2 linked regions of the Styela clava genome follow. The protein of the gene in region 2 purifies or fractionates together with the protein of the main gene of each other region. This does not show direct contact. Links are inferred from orthologs where the notes say so. Each region holds a gene or a part of one and is shown on either strand. Other genes may lie near its edges.

Region 1 (9,882 bases), on a different chromosome or scaffold from region 2:
TTAAATTTTATGAATACATGATGAATTTGATAAAAAATTGATTCAAATTGAAAACTAATTGCGAGGAAAAATTCTAGTTACTATATTATTTGAAGATCCATACTACTTACCTTTTTGCAGGCGGAAGTAAGATTTCTGGACCAACTGGTTGACCCATGGCAGTCGTTGTTACTCTTTGTCTATCTGCGGCATTTAGAGCATGAATTGCAAATCTTTTCACATAATTTTCTAATATTTGAATAACATTGGGTCTTGCTGGGAGATTAATCAGCTGAAATATTGTAAAAAAAAAATGTCAATCATCTTCTTTATTTGCAAATATGTTATATATTTTAAAAGTGGCAAGATGAGCCTGAAATTTTAATATAACTTATTATTATGTAAAAAAATTTCATTTCAAGTTTATGTCACAAAAATGGCACTTTTTCCACGTTTCAAGACTGTCTATAGACAAATAACACCAGACACTGCAATTACAACTTCTAACGGTTTTAGCGTGAACAGATCGTAAATAAATTGTATATAAAGACAAATCCTATTCAGATAATATAAATAAATATTTATCCTCGTCTTTTGCTTTTGAATTTACAGTAAAATAAGGTTGCAAAAGTTATCCATTCAAAATTAAAATAAATGTAAGTAAATGTAAATTTAGGAAAGAATGGAGTGTTGGACTATTTGAAGTTACCATATTTCTTTTCTTCACCAAAGCATTATCTTCTTCTAGTCGTCTTTGTAGAGACAGTGGTATGTCAAGACTGACTAATCTACGTAAATGATGTTCATCTTTATTTGATGGATTATCTTCTTCAACGATATTATCATGATGATGTATGGAAGCAGTTCCAATTGTTGATGTACTGCTCAAACGAGGTCTTTTCTAAAATATAAATTTCAAACAAATGGTTATTTAAAATATTGAGCATGGTCAAGTATGAGCACAAAATAAAGAAAAATATGGCAAACGATGATATTGGAATGAGAATAGGGAACTCGTGAATTGTCTTTCATTCAAATAGTTGAATCTAAAGGACTAAGTTCATTTGAAAAATAAATTTTCGTGGGACCCTGTTAAACAAAAGAGAATAAAGAGTTTTATAATGCCCGACAAACTATAAATTATGAGCCAAAATTTCCCCTATCAGAAATCTTAAACCCTGCTTTACATTCAAACTAATTTATTCACTAGATATGACATAGTTTGAAAAAATATGATTCTCCTGTCAGAATTGGAAATATGCCCTACCTCAGGAGGAAAATCATCATCAGATTCTGATAATTTTTCTCTTGTTCCAGTACTTGTTGTGAAATCAGAATTAAAACTTTCTCCAGAGCTTGAATCTGTATCAATAAATATGTTGGTTATATCACTCCTCTGTTTAAAATATCACGCACAGGATGTATATTGGACACAAAGTGGAAATATGGACTAAATTGTGTTATGTCAACAAAATTAAAAACCGCACACTGTGTGGCGGTTCCCTGATCGGAATGATTTTTTGAGAAAACTTGCTCAAAGCAAGGTCACATACACTCACTCAGAATAAATATAATTTTGAGTGAAGTCAAGGGTGAGCAGTGGAAATGTCAAGAGCTCGTATACATGCTGGCAAATGCATTTTAATACAAGACAAGACTGATACGAGACAGTTTAATAAATTAACACAACATGAAAATAAGATGAAAAAACATTACCCGAGTTGTTTGGTATTTCAGCATCTGGCTTACTAGCAACTCCAGGTAGATGATGTCGTCTTCTGCCTTTCTGAAGTTTCCTGCCGTGTATTGAATAGGAAATATCTTATTTAATAAATATAAGTTATTTCTTGTGGATTGAAATTTGCATTGGGTAAAGCTGACCAGTTGTAACATTGGTCAGGTTCTTAGGACTGACGGTGGTAGCCCACGGTAATCAGTGTTTAGGATATCAATCGTGTGAATTTTATGCCACATTGTTTGCCATCAATCATCTATCTATATCAACAATGCACAACCTGCGGCCGTAAGGCCGCATGCGGCCGTCGTGACAAAATAATGCGGCCGTCCACATACAAAATCCTATGAACAAAAAAAAAGAGTTCAAAATATAGGATTTGGCGGCTATGATGGTGCAAAAAGAATGATGAACAGCTTGTGCAGACGTTTGAAGACGAGGAAAATCTGCTGGACACATGGAAATGCGCAGTTGAAGTGTGCGAAGCAACGTTTTCAAGAATGACGTACCTGAAGAATGACTACCGAACCAGATTGTTAGACATTTTATTATACTTTTGGGGACAAGAAAATGGGAGCGACCGCCCCTCCCCGACTTTCGATTTTTTTCAAAATCGTGCAACCATTATGCAACTTGCTGCAGTATATCTGCTCAAGAATAGGTCCACTGAAAAGAAAAATTCGTTTAAAATGCGAATATTATACTTCCAAGTAGTTCTACATACTTTATAATCGGGCAGACCGCACCTCGCTCGGGTCAAATACGCGGTTATGACATCATAAGAGCAAATAAATAAATAAAAAAATTTGCGGGCCTTCGGCGCGCTCATCAAACACGTTGCGGCCGTATTGAATACAAATAAATGCAAAGTGGCCGCCAAGAGCAAAAAGGTTGTGCACCCCTGATCTATATGAAATCATCTAATTTCAATAAAGCTTGATAATAACCTTGTTCAACATTTTAAAATAATCATTAGCATTACTGTTGACTTACAATTTCTTTATTGCTCTTCTGGCCAACTTTCTCTGAAGTTTTCTATTTTGATCATTATCTTTCAGAACAAATGATTCGTCAGCCCAACGATCCCATGCATGATTCCAACCCTACAACACATTGTTTGGAATTATGGTATACAGCATGCAAATAGCATATTGTACCAGTAGCATACTAAGTAGAAAGACATGAAAACAGGTGTAGTATGAATTTTCCGTGTAGTATCAGTATAGCAGTACTTAATAAGCAAATCACTGTTTGCACAATTTCTGAATCAAAACTAATTGAGGCTTTTTACCTGAAAATGTATTTTATACTCTACAAACTTCTTTCCTTTAATGTCCTTAATTACATCAGCATCCATGATCTAAAAGCATGATTATTACAGTATTAATAAGAGGTCAGAAGACTGACAAAATAGAAATAAAGGGGCCGAATTAAGACAATCACAATAAATTCGCGATCATTTAATTCAATAATAACTTGAATAATATTGAAATAAAAAGCAGATGTTTCAAGTTCAGTTTTATCCCTTCAAAAAAATTACATTTAATGAGTTCGATTATGGACATCTCAGCTTTTGCACTGAAAATAAAACCAACAATAACATGATGGAAATGATGTTGTTTATCTGCTCCCTATTTGCAGCTTTAAGTCTCCCACGAAATTAGACAAATCCTGAATACCGTACCGATCATACCTTGGCATTATACAAAACTCGGGCTTTCGTTTCATCTGGTTCAAAACATAAAACTTTTTCTCCTACGACATGCTTGAACTTCATGTTGCTTGTTCGATATATATAATGTGAACTTCAACTCTAATAACGTTTTGCATACGTGGACGGCACAAACAACAAGGAATTAATTTCAAAATAATTCCTGAACTCAGTTTCTCACTTTCCGACTTTGCTAGTCAGTCAGAAACAAGACAATTTCCTAACGAGAACTACAAAACGCTTTCTTTGCAATTCTGCAGGAAGTTCGCACAAATGTCCCCCAAACACGATTGTGGAATTTAGTTTTGCGAGAACGAAATTTTGCGCGAAGGTAGTTTGTGTACATCAGGGGTCGGCAAACTGCGGCCCGCGAACTAATTTTTTGCGGCCCGCAAACGTCCCGAGAACTTTAAATGCATAATACAAAAATTGATGATAAATTTATCGTTGTCTCCACATGGACTTGTGCGGTAACGAATGCAGCTGTACGGAGTTTTTCTGCAGCGTCAGCTATATATGAGTTTTATGTCATTTACTTGATGTTGGTTGTAATTTTAAATAAGTTTCTTTTGATTTTTAAAATATATGAATGGGAATTTTTTTTCTCTGGAAACGGAAGGAAGTTCGCGTTGAGGGTCGAACATTCCGAAGTTCTTAGACAAAAAATATTTTTCTTTCTTGCTCCGGACTCCATTATCCGGTCACCTACTAAGCGTGATGTTGCTATGGGATTTCAATATGTCAATATTGTTAGCGATTTAGGATAGGATAGGATTTAGGATTTCACTATCACATCAGCGCTTTCGGGCTTTTGCACTGGATCCGGTAATGTCTGAATGTAGTCAATATTGTGTTTATGTATCTTAATACAGATTTGCAGATAAAATGATTTCAGTTATTATTATTAATTGATATATTCACAAGCAAAAATGATTAGCAGTAAAGGAAGCTCTAGCCAAAATTCTGAAAGTCGAATTACAGAATTTAGTTAAGCATTGAATTAACATTTGCAGGACGGCTCCACCCCGCCGCTTTAAAGGTGTTTTTAACCACTGTTAAGGCAAATTTGTGGCATTGTTTGTTCTTTTTGATAATGCAAATAAAATTAAGAAATGTCTATTACGTTATATCCTCTTTTTTTTTAAATTGGGCATGGAATTAATTTATTCCACAGTAAATTCAAGTATTTTCACATGTCACGAATATTGTGCTGAACAAGAGCCTACGCAAGCATCCACTGGTTTCAAACAATTTATTATGAACTACAGATTTTCAAAGGACTAAAATCTTTTCGGCTCGGCATTGCCCACCTAATTAATTCAGTAATTACACCCTGGGTTTAAACACTGGCCGATTACAGAATTATGACTTTCCCCATGAAACCATCCATTTAAAATGAATTATTATCATGTCTAACCTGACTGGAAACTGACCGAGAAGCAGTGGTTAGCCAAGCGTTTTATTGGCTCAACCCTCTTCGGGGACAATATGAATCTTATCCTCAGTTAAATGCCTACCTATAATTTGAATACAAAAATAGTAATTAGTATATATCTTTGTTTCTATGACATGTCACATGTTTGTTTTGAACTAGTCTGTTAATAATGTGTGACTTCAATGTGATATATGATATAAGTGAGATACTGTTTCAACAGATTGGAGTATTTGTGTTTGGTGTAGCGTTCCCTTGGGCGATGTGGGCATGTGACTTGAACCTGTGATATCGGAGTTATTAACTTGAATGTTAAAATTGTTTTTTTCCACTTCTGAAACATCTTGATTTTATTACCTTCTTACCACCCTATAATAGTTTTTATATTTGTTTTGAGGGAGAGGTAATATAATTAGTTGGCAAGATGATATATCGTATAGCAAAACATAGTCTTCTATCCGGGTAATTACCGGTCGAAGTCGGGCACAGCAATTTGTGACTTGTTCTAGATTTGTGTATTTTTATAGGTAGAAAAGCCATATCTGACCAGCGTCGATGTTAATCACCTTTCAACTGCAAAGCATCGGGATGCTTGACAGCAATTCTAATGTATATACTTATCCTCGTGTGATTCGAACTTATGAATCAACTCAAGAGTAAATCCCAAAGCATAGCACGATGTGTCAATCGCCAAGCTTCTGGGCAAAGTTTTTTCGTAATATACATTTCAAAACAAAATTCCCATATTCAACATTTCTTTAACTTTTTATTATTCTAAAAACTCGCATTGACCTACATACAGCCGAACTTTCATCTACAATTATTGTACAAAATTTGTTGAAGGTTTGGCATCTATATCATTTATCAACTATTGAGCAAGATACAAAAATTCTATGTAAATTTGTATACTGTTTTACAGCTTCCACCTTATGCGGACTAAATTGACAAATTCTTAATTTTGAGTGATATCGAAAATTGTGCAAGCAAAATTTTGTACCTTTTGAACTCGAAAATTGTACCAAATAATTGAATAAATGCATAACTTTCTAGTTGCTTTTACCTAAGATCCAAAATGGTTTGCTATGATTACTGACTTTAATTCTAGTAATAATATGTTATGGGTGCGGTGGCCTAATGGTTGAAGCGTAGGTCCTAACAATGTTGGCATCTCATGTTGAAATCTTGGTTTGAATGGCCATGCCTACAATCTCACCCAGCATTTAATAAACTAAGTAGGTAGTGCAAAACTGGAAACATTTTGCCTCCGGAGCCTTCTTTGGAATGAAAAACATATAAAATGCTATATAAAAAATACATGGTTTCAGAATTTTATATTTCACAGTTGTGTTGGGATACACTCACTAGCGTACATTTGAGAGATTATGTAACATCTATATTTACTGTCATTTTATGGTAAACCTGATTTATTGATTTGAAAATTATGCAAAAAATGATAAACATTTGGATAGTTCGGCTATTGCTATGCACCAGTAAATCAATATTATATAAAAAAAATAAATATATATATATTGCAAACTAATTGCATTTATTTTGTTCTCTATCTTGGCATTATTGATATGTTTATATGAAATTGAAGCGATATTTTAAAAATGATAATAATGATATAAAACATCAGATTCTTGCTGATCCACGTTGAAGAATTTTCATAGTTTTTTAATTGCTTTGTCAAAATTAAAATAGTTCATAGCATAAAACATATCAATTTCTTATTATATATGTTTTAGGATATTGCACATGTTCCAGTTAGAAGTGCAATCTACATTTACTATGACATAGCATACTACTTTGTCTTCGTAATTCACTCATCTCTCATCATTATCACTGACCGACAGAATGACAACTTCATCAAGTTTGCAGGAAGCAGTTGCTTACAAACTGTAAGTAACATAAATTCAAATTTATTTAGATCGAAAAGTTGTTTAGTATTAAAATGAATCAGACTCAAAATATACGTATTGTCATTTCAATAAAGTGTTTTTAGGTTTTTTATGTTTACAAATACTCCATATATATTATTAATATTCATATTTGAATTCATATTTTAATATTGATTTTTACAATTCATTTTTAAATTTTAAAACGATTTACCCAGCATCCTTATATATCTCAAATTATCATTATGATGGAATAATATTCTTCTACAACCTTTGATATTAAGCAGCATAATTTCAATAATATAATAATGTTTTTATGATTACCTGGATTCTAATGTTACAATTGTCTTTTTTTGCGTTATATTATTTTATTTTTTAATTATTCAGAAAACATTACATGAATGTGAAAAGAAGAGAAGATGGTTTCGATCTATCATCACCAAATTCTCCAGTGTCAGGAGGATCTTACAATGGTGGACATAAAACGGTAAAGTTTCTACTTTGGTTTATATTTTGTAATGCAAATTTATTATATATTTCTTCAGTGTTCCGTATCTTTGTTTTTAAAAAGTCTGTATTTAAATAGCCACCGATAAAGTATTTGCTTACTGTAAAATATGGAGTAAAATTGCTTGTGTTATAAATATTTTTGTTTTATATGACTTACTGCCTCAACCATCATTATTATTACTGAAATTATCTTTATATCAATCTTACTAAACAATATATATCAAATTCACCACATTTTTTTAATAATTCAAGTTTGGATTAGGATTTCCAATTATTAATCTAATCAGAACAAGCACTTTGCAATATCTGGTTGTCAGTCCATATCAGATTGGTGTATAATTTCAAAATAAATCAAATTTTTCAACATGGTTTACAACAAGCAAAGTTCTTTTATGTTATAGTCATGCTAGATGTCAATATGGCATCCTTTTCGGAAAAATATTTTCAACAACGATCTGAAAAGTCATGTTTGAGTTTCATCTGACCACTTAAAGTGTCATAATTATAATCAGTTTATCACAAAGCAACGTTCTGTTTTCTCGTTATTCGGAAGGATTGGTTTGTTGAATGTCAATATGTGCATAGCACTGTAAACACCAGAATGATTTTCTTATATTTTTAAGCTTACTAGGGTCTGTTGCTCCTAGAAACCATTTATTCATTTAATATCAAATATATGGATTGCTAATAACATGTTATTGATCAAGTATGGTATATGGTGTTAAACCTTTATTTAGTGTGTATAACCTATGATTCATACTTGATTGGTGTTATATGAAATAATATTTCTCCTACCCGTCAATATCAGTAATTACATTGCAATAGCTTTTGTTAATCTGATTTTAGATATATTGAAAATTGGATATGATTTTCCGAAAGCTGATAACTACTTTGCAATTAATTATTCTTTGTCATAATTCATTCTACTCTGAGAAAATTATGATCACTCACACAGTCACATTATTCAATTATTTATATACCATGACATAATATAAGGGAATTTGTTTTGAAGCATCATAATCTTGACCTCCTTTGTAATATAGTCTGTGTCATTCGTTGAATGTGGATTTGTGAGTTAAAATTCGGAACTGTGATTTAATTCAAACTTGGTATACACTGCCCAGACCATGCATTTAATATGCTTATTTGGTCTTCATTTTTTTTTCTTTTTTTCTTTGTAGCATTCAACGGTGAATTATGCGAAACTACAAGACAGAAGCTTAAAACATTATTTCACTCCACAAATGATTCGAACTCAGATTGCAAATTTGGAAGCAATGCCACCTGGTACAAAACGGGAGAAAGACGTGAAACATAATATGCGGAGAACAATGAGAAAAAGAACAACTTTTGAGGTTACAAATTATTTACTTTTCATTTATTTCGTCGAACGTTTTGAAGTACTCCATCGCGCCCAAAGCTTTTTGACACTGACATCATGTTAAAAAACATTTGCTCCTACTCTCGATTTAAAAAAAATATTGGATAGGAAATCTCGCTGTTCGCTGGCGTTTTTTTCATTCCATTTGAATACTCTGAGTCTGGCTTCCAGCTTTTAATAAATGGGAAGTGAATTTACAACTCCCAAACGAAATGGTAGTACCAAACCCCAGACTTCAAATCAGAAGTCTGCGTCAAAACTGTTTACAGATTGAGACAAAAATGTAACTCTTGTAATATGGACTTTCAACATTTATCAAGTTTGGATACATGGAAATACCTGTATCAAGGACCATCTTAAATTCAATACTTATATTATGAATATTTCAGTAGGTGCAGAGGGTATGATATAATCATTCAGCGCTATGCTTTGAACTCGATTTAAATTTATTTAGTATGGCCTTGATAAGCTACAATATCAGTTTATTCGTAACATAGCAACGCATTGAAAAATCAATTACCAGCATCTGATGTTTGTGGAAACATAGAAGCTTAGTCATGTTTGAATTTGCAGCATCAGATGTCAAACATGTATTTCAAGAAAACAGTAAACATGTCATAAAACTTGAGATGTTTGTTCTGCCAACTCAGCTAATAATCTTAAACTTTTACATAGACAAACAAATGTGCGTGTCATGCTTGGTTTGTCCGTCATAAATTCAAGAAGCTTGGTAATCTGTAAATACTTTTTGAATGACACTTTATCGCATTGTTACCTCATCCCGTAAAACATAATTTATTGAATCGTTTGATTTATTTTGGTTGTTTAAATATGTCTGTAATATATTTGTTCAATCATTTGAAAACGTTGACCTTGGCATATGGTGATTAATTAAAATAAATCAGTGAATTAATCATAATTTCCTTGTGTTACTTATGGTGACAGTGGTTTTGTTTTATGTGGCATTTGTGTTACATGCCTATTGAATAATTGTTAGAGTTAACACCTGCTTTTACTGTCAATGGTACTTTCTGAATTTAAGCAAGCTGTCACAGTCATTACGTACTTATCGACCTTGATCAGGGAATATGATATTGTGAATTGGCAAGTTTCTGACTTTTCTAAAATTCAATTGTTCTGAAAATGGCTTGAAATGCCCTTGAAATATGTAGGACTATTGTTGGCAGGAATGATGCTTATTCTCCACATTTAAATGAGGTTTTATTTGTTGGCAAATAA
Region 2 (9,573 bases):
TGTCAGTAAATGTGAGCATTTCGAAGCTTGTTTGAAAAAATGCTTTGCATTTTATTACTAAATTACATTCTTGAATATAAAAGTGTATGAATGATGGGTATTACATTAGAGAAGTTTCAAAGGAATGTTTGGTGTTGCATGCATTTCAATGGTAGTCTTGACTGCCCGTCCGTGTACATTTAGAGCCAAAATATGTCAAATAGCGCCTGCTTGGGGAATTAAGAATACTATTTGCCGAGCCCACAACAGAATTTCACCTGGTCTGTAGGATCATTTTTCACACCTTTTATTACTAAATTACATTCTTGAATATAAAAGTGTATGAATGATGGGTATTACATTAGAGAAGTTTCAAAGGAATGTTTGGTGTTGCATGCATTTTGTTTAATATGCGCAGTTCCATGCATTTCAATGGTTAGTCTTGACTGCCCGTCCGTGTACATTTAGAGCCAAAATATGTCAAATAGCGCCTGCTTGGGGAATTAAGAATACTATTTACCCACAACAGAATTTCACCTGGTCTGATGTCTGCAGGATCATTTTTCACACCTCGCCAGCTACACCCAATTAATATCTCTCTGGAGAATCTATCCCCTGACTATCATGCAAGTAGGTGACCTCTGCATATAGTAATATCCAAGTTTCATGGATGAAAAATACAACAAAATTCTTGTGCTTTGTTTCAGTTTATACTGCTATCAATGCTATAGTTATGGTTTTATATGGAGCCCAAAAATAAGCAGACCCCCCTTCGGTAGGTGTATCCTCTGTGTGAAATTATTCCTGCCCTGTTGGATGAGTAATAGATTGAAAGTTTCTTGTGTTTTATTTCAGTTCATGGTGTCGAGCCCCGGAGTCCAGAATAAACAGACTTCCTGTGTTAACATCTTCAACAAGATATTTGAGTACAACAAAGACAGTGAAAAGCAGTTTAATAAAATAATGGCGATTGGCAATATGAAAAGATTCAGTCAGAATGCCTCACATGTATTCTGTAATTAGTTCATATAGTTTTGTCAACAGTTGACAGTCTTCATTTTTTGTGGTGGATACCTTCCTTTTTCACACCTGGCTTTCTCTTTGGAGGCTGCCATCTCATGAATGTTTTGTCCACAGGAATTCGTGGCCTTTTGATCAGCTGTGATTTCATATGTTCCTCAATGTGTTTTGGTGTGACACAGACAACATGTTGTCCTTTCCAATATTTTACCATGTTGAGAGACTGCAATGCAGAAATGATATCCGCTTGTGTGATACTTGTCATTTCACTCAGATCCTTGATTGATAGAGTTCCCCTGTAAACATGAATAACATAATGATCATTCTAAATATAAATAATTGTCGGCAGAATTTAAAAGGTGAAAAACTGATATAAGATGACTCAAATAAATGATAGACCATTGTCCTCCAGTTCAATAAATAGACAACTAACTAGCTAGCCATTCCTCATAAAAGTATATTTACAACAATTTTCTAACAAACTCGACCAATACAGGACAAAAAAGTACATAAAACAAAATGCAACAGTGACATAAAAACAGGGTGGAATAGTTGTGAAACATAATAATTTTTAAATGACTTTGTAATAGGGCTCCATCCTTTTATATGTGTCTGAATCGCACAGACTCCAACAATGATTTTTCACTTATTTCATATCGATTCATATTCAAAGCAGTTTTGAGGCAACTCTAAATTCAATTGTTGGCTGTCTAAACACCCACAGTATCATGTCACAATCCAGCTAATGGGTTGAAAGCTGTTTTGCGAGAAACCATACTATATCATAATTTTGTTTTACAAAAAAAATAATATTCGAAACGAGGACACAATTCGCAACTGGCATCAGCATTCTTACCTAAAATCTCTCAGAATCTCCAATAAAACCCAAGACCAGTAACTCCTGTAGCTCAGCTTTCCCAAGTCTGATAACGGCTTTTCTGGAGATCCGATAAGATGTTCTGCTTTTGATAATTCGTAACTGAAGGCTATCAAGAATTTTCCATAACCCTTTCGCTGGAATGGTGGCAATATTAAAATGCAAGCAAGATTATTTCCATCAGGAGATTCTTTCTCTTTTGAAAAATACCCAACAACGTGTGCACCATACTGGTCAACCTCTGTAAGGATATAGAAAAGAAATGGTTCCACATCAAAGTAAAGAGTTTTATGATCAAGAAATAACTTTGCTAGCAAACATAAATTCTGACAGTATATTTTATGTTCTTTTCCATCAGCTTCATAAACCGAAATATTCCCTCGACGATAAATTTCTTTGCCGGGAGGTTGTCGCCATTCACATTCTCCTAAATGCCGTCTGTAGGTTATTTCAAATTTCATATATTTCAAGCAATATTCACATATGTATAATTTGGGTTGCTTTCCATATTCGTCAGGATAAGGTGAGAAGTACCACGCTTCAATTTCATATTTCCCCATATGAATTCGGTCAATATACTTCACTTTGGTGATAGCTTCGTGCTCCCTCTCTAATGCTGCAGTCGTCGGATCCATTTCTGCATAGGATTTTTGAACATGATTAATCTCATCATGTTTCCGCTTTTGATTTCTTGTCATACGATTATCAGCCCCATCTTTTGCATCACCATCTTTTACAGCTTCAATATCACTCTCAGGAACGACTCTCGCAGTATCAATACGAGAAGACTCAACCCACTCATCTAGTCTTCTGTTCAAGCCGTGATAATGCACATAATATTCATGTCTATCGTCATGTAATGCATTCACTCTTGTTTGAAGAACTTCTGCATTGTGCCATGTATCATCACTTCGCATGCAATAATAATGCTGATTTAGTTTAATTTTGTCATCTTTGACAGGAAGTTTTTTTAATGGATTTGTATTTATTGATGGAGTAGAAGCATCTTCACATTTTATATCTGTCACAGAACTGTTTTCTACAGAAGTTGGTGGAGGATTATCACTCATACTTATTACCTATTTAGTAATCAAATTTTTTTTGAAGGCTGTAAAACAGAATGCAATTAAATTATAGCTGTATATATAGGATTAAAGAATTGTTTGAAAGAAGGGAGAAACCACCCACATATGAATTTTTCAATTCAATCATTCCTAAAACTTTTAGATTTAAATATATTTAATTGTTTTGTGACAGATTATCTACACCAGGGTCGTCCAACCCGTGGTCCACGCGGTAATATTTGAATCCCATCGTCTTTCACAAATCTGAGCCATTATTGAAAGTCTAATAACAAAAGTATTCCTTGTCGTTCTAATGCGTGAGAAACACCACACACCTATCGTCCCTTTTTATGTCACTTTGTGGGCGTTATTGCTGGAGAGAGATGTTTGAATTTATTTTTATTGTTTGTCATATATTTCAATCTGTTTTTTTTCTGTGAAGCTAGAAGAGGCAGTTTTTTATGATCTCAATATTAGACAGCACTTACTTATACGAGCAAGTTTTTTCACGGATGAACCATGTCATATCATCCGTGAGATCACTAAATTCCGACAGTCATTCAGAAAAATTCTCTCTGCATTGCTACATCGCCCGTCGCAACGAATATTGACAAACATATTAGATAAAAGCAGTGCCATACTTCATATTGAAATATCTATGTGTGGTAAAAACTTTTGATTTTACTGTATCTTTGTATTTTCATTGTTCTTATAAGTTTAGTTTGGGGGTTTTGTTTGTTTTTTCATTGATCCGTAGTCGGCGTGGTGCAAACTAGAACATAACTGCCATTGCAAGTGGCCCGCCCAATCATTCGTAAACCAAATGTGGCCCTTTAGCCCAAAAGGTTGGACAACGCTGATCTACACGATGATTGCGATTAACGAGGCGATCCCACTTTTTCAAAACAAAGAAAGACGAGAAATATAATAAAAGAGTATGATTAAAACATTTTTCACCCGGTCAAGCGAATTAATGTTTGGAAATCAAAAATTTTCTCCAATATATCGAAAATATCAATAAAATAGTTTATTAAACTGGTTTAAGACATGATAAATATTTTCTGATCAAATTTATAAACACTGTAACTCTGATAGACATATATAAAACACATATTCAAATTTAAAAAAAATTCAGCGTGCCGAAAGTAGGGAATTTCCCCCCAACTTATCAAAAATATGGACAAAATGCAAGAAATATGTTTTTCTCATCTAACTGTCAAATTCATAAACAGTATTTTTTGGTAGACACATACCGTATGAAACAAATATTAAAATTTTAAAAACTCACTGATTAAAAGTAGAAAATTTCCCCTCATTTTATCGACGAAATCGTCACTGTAACTGAGTTCGGGAGATAAAGCCTACAAAAATTTATGCGAGGAATAATTTTTTTCGTCGAATTAACGAACACATTAATTCCGTTAGACATATATAAAACATATGAAAAAACCTTACCATACGGGAAGTAGGAAGTTCCACGGAATATATCGAAAATATCCAAATGTCTGCCAAGTTCCACTCCTGAGAATAAGCTAACTAAGCCAACGACACATTTGCCCGCCAAGACTAATTACCCGTTCTTTGATTTCTGGACTTTGTTGACGAAATTGCAGATGGTTCATACACGTAAAAAATGTTCATTGAAACACAAAATAAATTGACAAATCTGGAGCGAAAGAAATATCAGTGCAACTGTACAGATTTTTATTAATAAGCCATCGTTGCTTTATTACTGATTGCACCTTTTTCTAGAAATAAACAAAAAAAAAAATAGCTCTTTCTCTCTCTCACTCTCGGGGGAACATTAATTGTGACGTCTAGGAAATATTTTTATAGGGTCAAAGGTTGAGAAAACAACCATATTTCATTTAGTGAGCAAGGTATTTTTTTTACTAAATTATCGGTAATATTACATACGGTACCGGTATATCTGTGTACAGCACAAGTGTATCGTTTTGCACTATTTGCAATATCGCGTTTTGCACTATTGCACATTCAGTTTAAAAGCGTGAGCCATTCAGTACCGGTACGAATGTAGGAGGGGAACTCTCACAGAAATCTGGAAATGTTATTATCAAGTACCGGTAGTCTAATCACAAATTTTAGACTAGTGTGGAGTGGACAGCAGCTGTTCTTCCTCTACAACCAGACAACTCTTTCTGTTCTTCCTCTTGTCCTCTGTTACCGGTACCTTAATTATCTTGACAAGAATACGCAAAGAGTTGAGTACGGTACCGTAATTCTGTAGTTCAGTACCAGTTATAGCAGTATAGTATATAGTTACTAGGTAGTTATTTAATCAAAATAATTTCCAGAATTCTCCACTTTAAATTTGTGTATATTATAGTATTATGGCAGTATGGAGTGTTCGAATAAACTATCTACCGAATCTATCCATGGATTTGTTCACAAAGATAAAACATTACACGAATAAGATAACTGGATAAAAGCGAAGAATTTTTGACTGTTTGAACTGAGCAAAAGCTAAAATGAGTTTTTAAACACATTTACTAGCCTTGAGCATTGACTTGACAGTTCGAAGAAGAAAGAAAACAAACCTCATCCAACCTGAACAATTGTGGTAGGCTACCTAATCCAGTTTGCCAGTAAGCATAAATTTTATAAGACAGTACAACAGTAAGAGATTCTGAGATTATAAAAGCTGAAAAGAGAGTAATATTACAGTTTTATAAGAATAGGAGATCATTAACTTACACATTGCAGCATTACACATTACTGCATTATGTCAGTATGTAGACGTATCGTCTCACATATTCTCGAACAAAACAATGAACAGGGTCTCAGGTATTTTCCTACCTCAAGTACTTCTAGTGGGCGTAGCATAACGATTTTTGACTTCCTGACTTCGCCATCCAAAAATCACATCACTACGCCATCACAATCATGTCATAGAGCTTGCCAAAGTATACATATGATCGCCTGAAATGACATCTGTGCCGACGATAAAGAACTTACTACTTCTCTCATATTGGAATCACTGCGGGCACTGTGACGAGAAATAGCTTGCTCGATTTTGGGTGATTGTCTGCGCGTCTTTGATGACAGTTCATATAGTCTGAAGGGCTTTATTATGTCACTGTGACGTTGTAGTAACATAATTTTCGGATAACGCAGTCAGGTGGGGGTTGGGATTGATATATGCAAAAATTGAGTGACAGGGCACTCATACAAACAATCAAAAAAATAATTTTTGGATTAAAATCTGCAAGCATATACCCCAACTCTATCTGTAAATGATTCAGCATGTATGAATTTTGTGATTGATTTATTCTGAAAAATCCATCCTTTTTTATTTAAATACTGCAATTTTGTTTTGTATCAAATTTATGCTATACCAGTAAAATCAAAAAATTTCAATTTGTTTTCTTAAATTTCAGCCTTCCATTATTTTTTGATCAACTATGAAGAAGTTTCATTTACACTTAGGCTTCACCACCACATGATTAAATCTGCAACATATATGTATATTCAGGGTTCCATATACCTTTGCAGCAATCATTTTATAAAGTCATATGGATGTGTTTGCATCTGCATACCCAGATGCCTGTTCAAGCATTGGAGCAGCATCCAGGGCAGGAAACTCTCAAGTTTTGCATGAACTTTTGATGAAGGGGTTGGATTACACGATCAAAGATAACAGGGGATGGTATCCTATGCATGAAGCAGCATTTGGCGGTCATATCGAGTGTGTTAAAATACTTTTGGAAACGGCAATGTCAGATTGCGAATCTACCAGAGAGATTTTGGATTGTGTATTCCCACCTGCTTTTGATGGAGAAACACCGTTATCTATTGCTTCTAGTGAAGGCCATGTTGAAGTTGTTAAACATCTCATGAGCTTGTACAAAGAATCGGAATTGGGAATTGACAAAATGGGATATCCTCTCCATGAATCCTGCAAAAATGGGCATAATAAATGTATTGAAATTCTAGTTGATGAATTCCCAATGCATGTTAACATGAAGGATTCCCGAAGTGGTGATTATCCAATACATGTAATTGTTGAAAAAGAAAATATTCAAGCAACAAAATTTTTAATACAAAATGGGGCTGATGTAAATGTGCAAGATTCAGATGACTTGAAGACACCATTACATGTGGCAGTTTCTATTGAAAATGAAGAGATTGTGAAACTTTTGATCAATGAAGTTAAGGATGTGAATGCAACTGATATCACAGATTGTACGCCCTTATATTTAGCTGCGCAAAATGGAAATGAAAATATAGTACGGTTGCTGTTAAACAAAGGTGCTGATCCATTAAAGTGCATGTATATTGATCATATGGGCTTAAAAAGTTTTCCATTAACAGTAGCAGCTGAAAAAGGACATTTTCCCGTTGTTAAATTGCTTGCAAAAATTACTCCGAAAGATTGTTGTATTTCTGCAGTTATTTTGAGTGCTTTTAATAGGCACAATGATTGTTTATTATATTTATTCAGAAAAGGATATTCAACTTTCCATTCGGATATTAAAATTGCAGGTGAAAGCGTATGGGATATTTTATTAGGCCACAACAATGGTTTTGAAAGTTTCTCAAGTACTGTTAAAATACTTATTGAAAATGATACTTTATTTTCGGATCTTGCGAGAAGGGAAGAACATTTGTATTTTAAATATTTTATTTTGCCCATGAGATTTAATGACGTTAATATTGTGGTCCTAAATGAGTTTTTGAATGCAGGACTACTGGAATTACGATTCAACTGTGAAACATTTCCTAACTTATCATATTCAATCAGCGGACATAAAGTTTTACAAGATCGCTTAATCCTAAATAGTCGGTATCCGCATTATCTGAGAAATCTATCCAAAATATCACTTTGTTTGAGATATTTTCCATTTTTATCGATTTCACATAATAGTTCATTGCCATTGGTGGTTGCAAATGTTGATGATCTTCTGCATGGAATTCTAGTTCAAAATGTTCCATCCTTGGTTGATTTAACCAGATGGGTGATACGCTGCTATATAATTAAAGTCAAAGGCCTCATTTGTTCCAAACATATTACCTGCTTAAATTTACCAAGAAAATTGGAAGATTTCCTGTTGCAATGTTAAAAAGTTTTGCTGTTTCATATCTGAAAAACATTTTAGTGATCACAGATGAAAACAGTATAATCATGCAGAAATGCAGATGAAATTGAAACATTCCCCAGTCCCCACACTGTATTAACTTAGGATGGGAACACTAAATATTGAGCTTATTCCTCATATGACTTGGCTATATTAAATATATATATCACTTGGCTTTCTAAAATGTTGACTATAATTCTTTTGCATGTTGATAAATTTATCTCAAGCAGTCAATTTTAATTTTTTACAATTTGTATTAAGCTACCCCACAATTCTGGTTACCCAAGTTCTTAGTGTAGTTTACCGTGGCACATTTGATTGTGGAGATTGGTTTTGATGTTAAAGATCATGTTATTAGCCCCATAACTAATTTCATTAGGTATGCTTGTTGAAACTGCCATAAATATATGCATGTTTAAACCTCTGATCGCCATGATATTGTAGGCTAAAGTAACTTTGGTGGGTGATTTAATGCTGCTGTGGGATGTGCCGACATAACTATTCCTGTATTCCTTATCATATAGAACCAATTTGTTTGGGACGTGACCTTTGACATTGCCTATCCAAAATGAAATATGTAGCTGGAGCTCCAGAAGAAAACCACTTGGATCAATTCTAGGAAAAATTTCTGATTTAAATCAAATTATTTGGTTAAGAAAATTATATTTTATTTTCCCCACATCAGAGCAACTTTTTTGCACAATGGTCTTTATGATTAAGCTATAATCTCTTCGCAGTCCTGTCCCTTTTCGCAATACTATTGAGGCTTTTTTACTCAATCATAAATAACAGAAGGTCTAACTTACATACAAATGAATGAATTAAATTATTGTATTTTGGTCGTAGCCAATTACATTGCAAATACTTAGTAGATTTCCTATATTCTTTGTATGATTTCAGGTAAAACTTACTGTTGTGGCATTAAGTCGTAGTGGAAACACTAGATACACTGTATTGTGAATATGTGGAACTTTTATTTTGTTGTAATTATGTATGTGACTTCACTTGGCTTAAGTCATCGTACCCAAACTGGCAAGTTCATATGCAAACGATGTGGTGAAACTGTGGCTCAAGCTGAAGATCTTGTTTCCATTCCAAGTAAACTTGCACTTCAAAGGTGGAACAAAACAATTTTAGGAAAGCCACATATAACTACACAAAAATTTGAAAATCCACAAGGTGCTCAATTTGAAGTTGTAACTTTTTCTGAAGCCTCTGTAACATCAAATGAAGACGCACATACAGAAGCGACTTGGTTTCCTGGATATTCATGGAGAATTTCTGCTTGTTCAAGATGTAATTTTTTCTTAGGTTGGAAATATCAACCAGTGAATTTTAATCACATGACATTCACAGAAAATGATAAATTTTACGGACTTATTATGGATCATATTATTCAAGATATTGATTCTGATTCTCTGGTCATTATTCAGCATCCGAATGCAAGATGATAATAAGTTCTTAGGTCATCTGATAAAATTATGTCGGGCAATACAGATGGCAGGATGGTGTCTATTTCAAACATGAAGTTTGAAAT

What was found.
Region 1: the proteins of histone acetyltransferase KAT8-like (region 2) and MSL complex subunit 3-like purify together in Homo sapiens (affinity purification with mass spectrometry; 4 studies listed by BioGRID and IntAct, with this or other methods). This does not show direct contact. The link is inferred for Styela clava from reciprocal best matches to the Homo sapiens genes KAT8 and MSL3.

Annotation. Positions count from the first base shown.
Region 1 is NC_135263.1:16,399,119-16,409,000, forward strand, and holds the start of MSL complex subunit 3-like, read right to left. Parts: upstream 3,713-9,882; 5' UTR 3,492-3,712; coding exon 3,408-3,491; intron 3,075-3,407; coding exon 3,006-3,074; intron 2,818-3,005; coding exon 2,708-2,817; intron 1,776-2,707; coding exon 1,696-1,775; intron 1,342-1,695; coding exon 1,247-1,341; intron 881-1,246; coding exon 689-880; intron 272-688; coding exon 111-271; intron 1-110. Other genes in the region: uncharacterized protein LOC120341242, read left to right, coding at 6,712-6,755, 7,140-7,239, 8,444-8,617. UniProt on the Homo sapiens protein: Non-catalytic component of the MSL histone acetyltransferase complex, a multiprotein complex that mediates the majority of histone H4 acetylation at 'Lys-16' (H4K16ac), an epigenetic mark that prevents chromatin compaction.
Region 2 is NC_135255.1:8,354,033-8,363,605, forward strand, and holds histone acetyltransferase KAT8-like, read right to left. Parts: upstream 4,535-9,573; 5' UTR 4,396-4,534; intron 2,985-4,395; 5' UTR 2,947-2,984; coding exon 1,856-2,946; intron 1,296-1,855; coding exon 1,034-1,295; 3' UTR 165-1,033; downstream 1-164. Other genes in the region: uncharacterized protein LOC120331723, read left to right, coding at 6,474-8,021; protein cereblon-like, read left to right, coding at 8,999-9,487.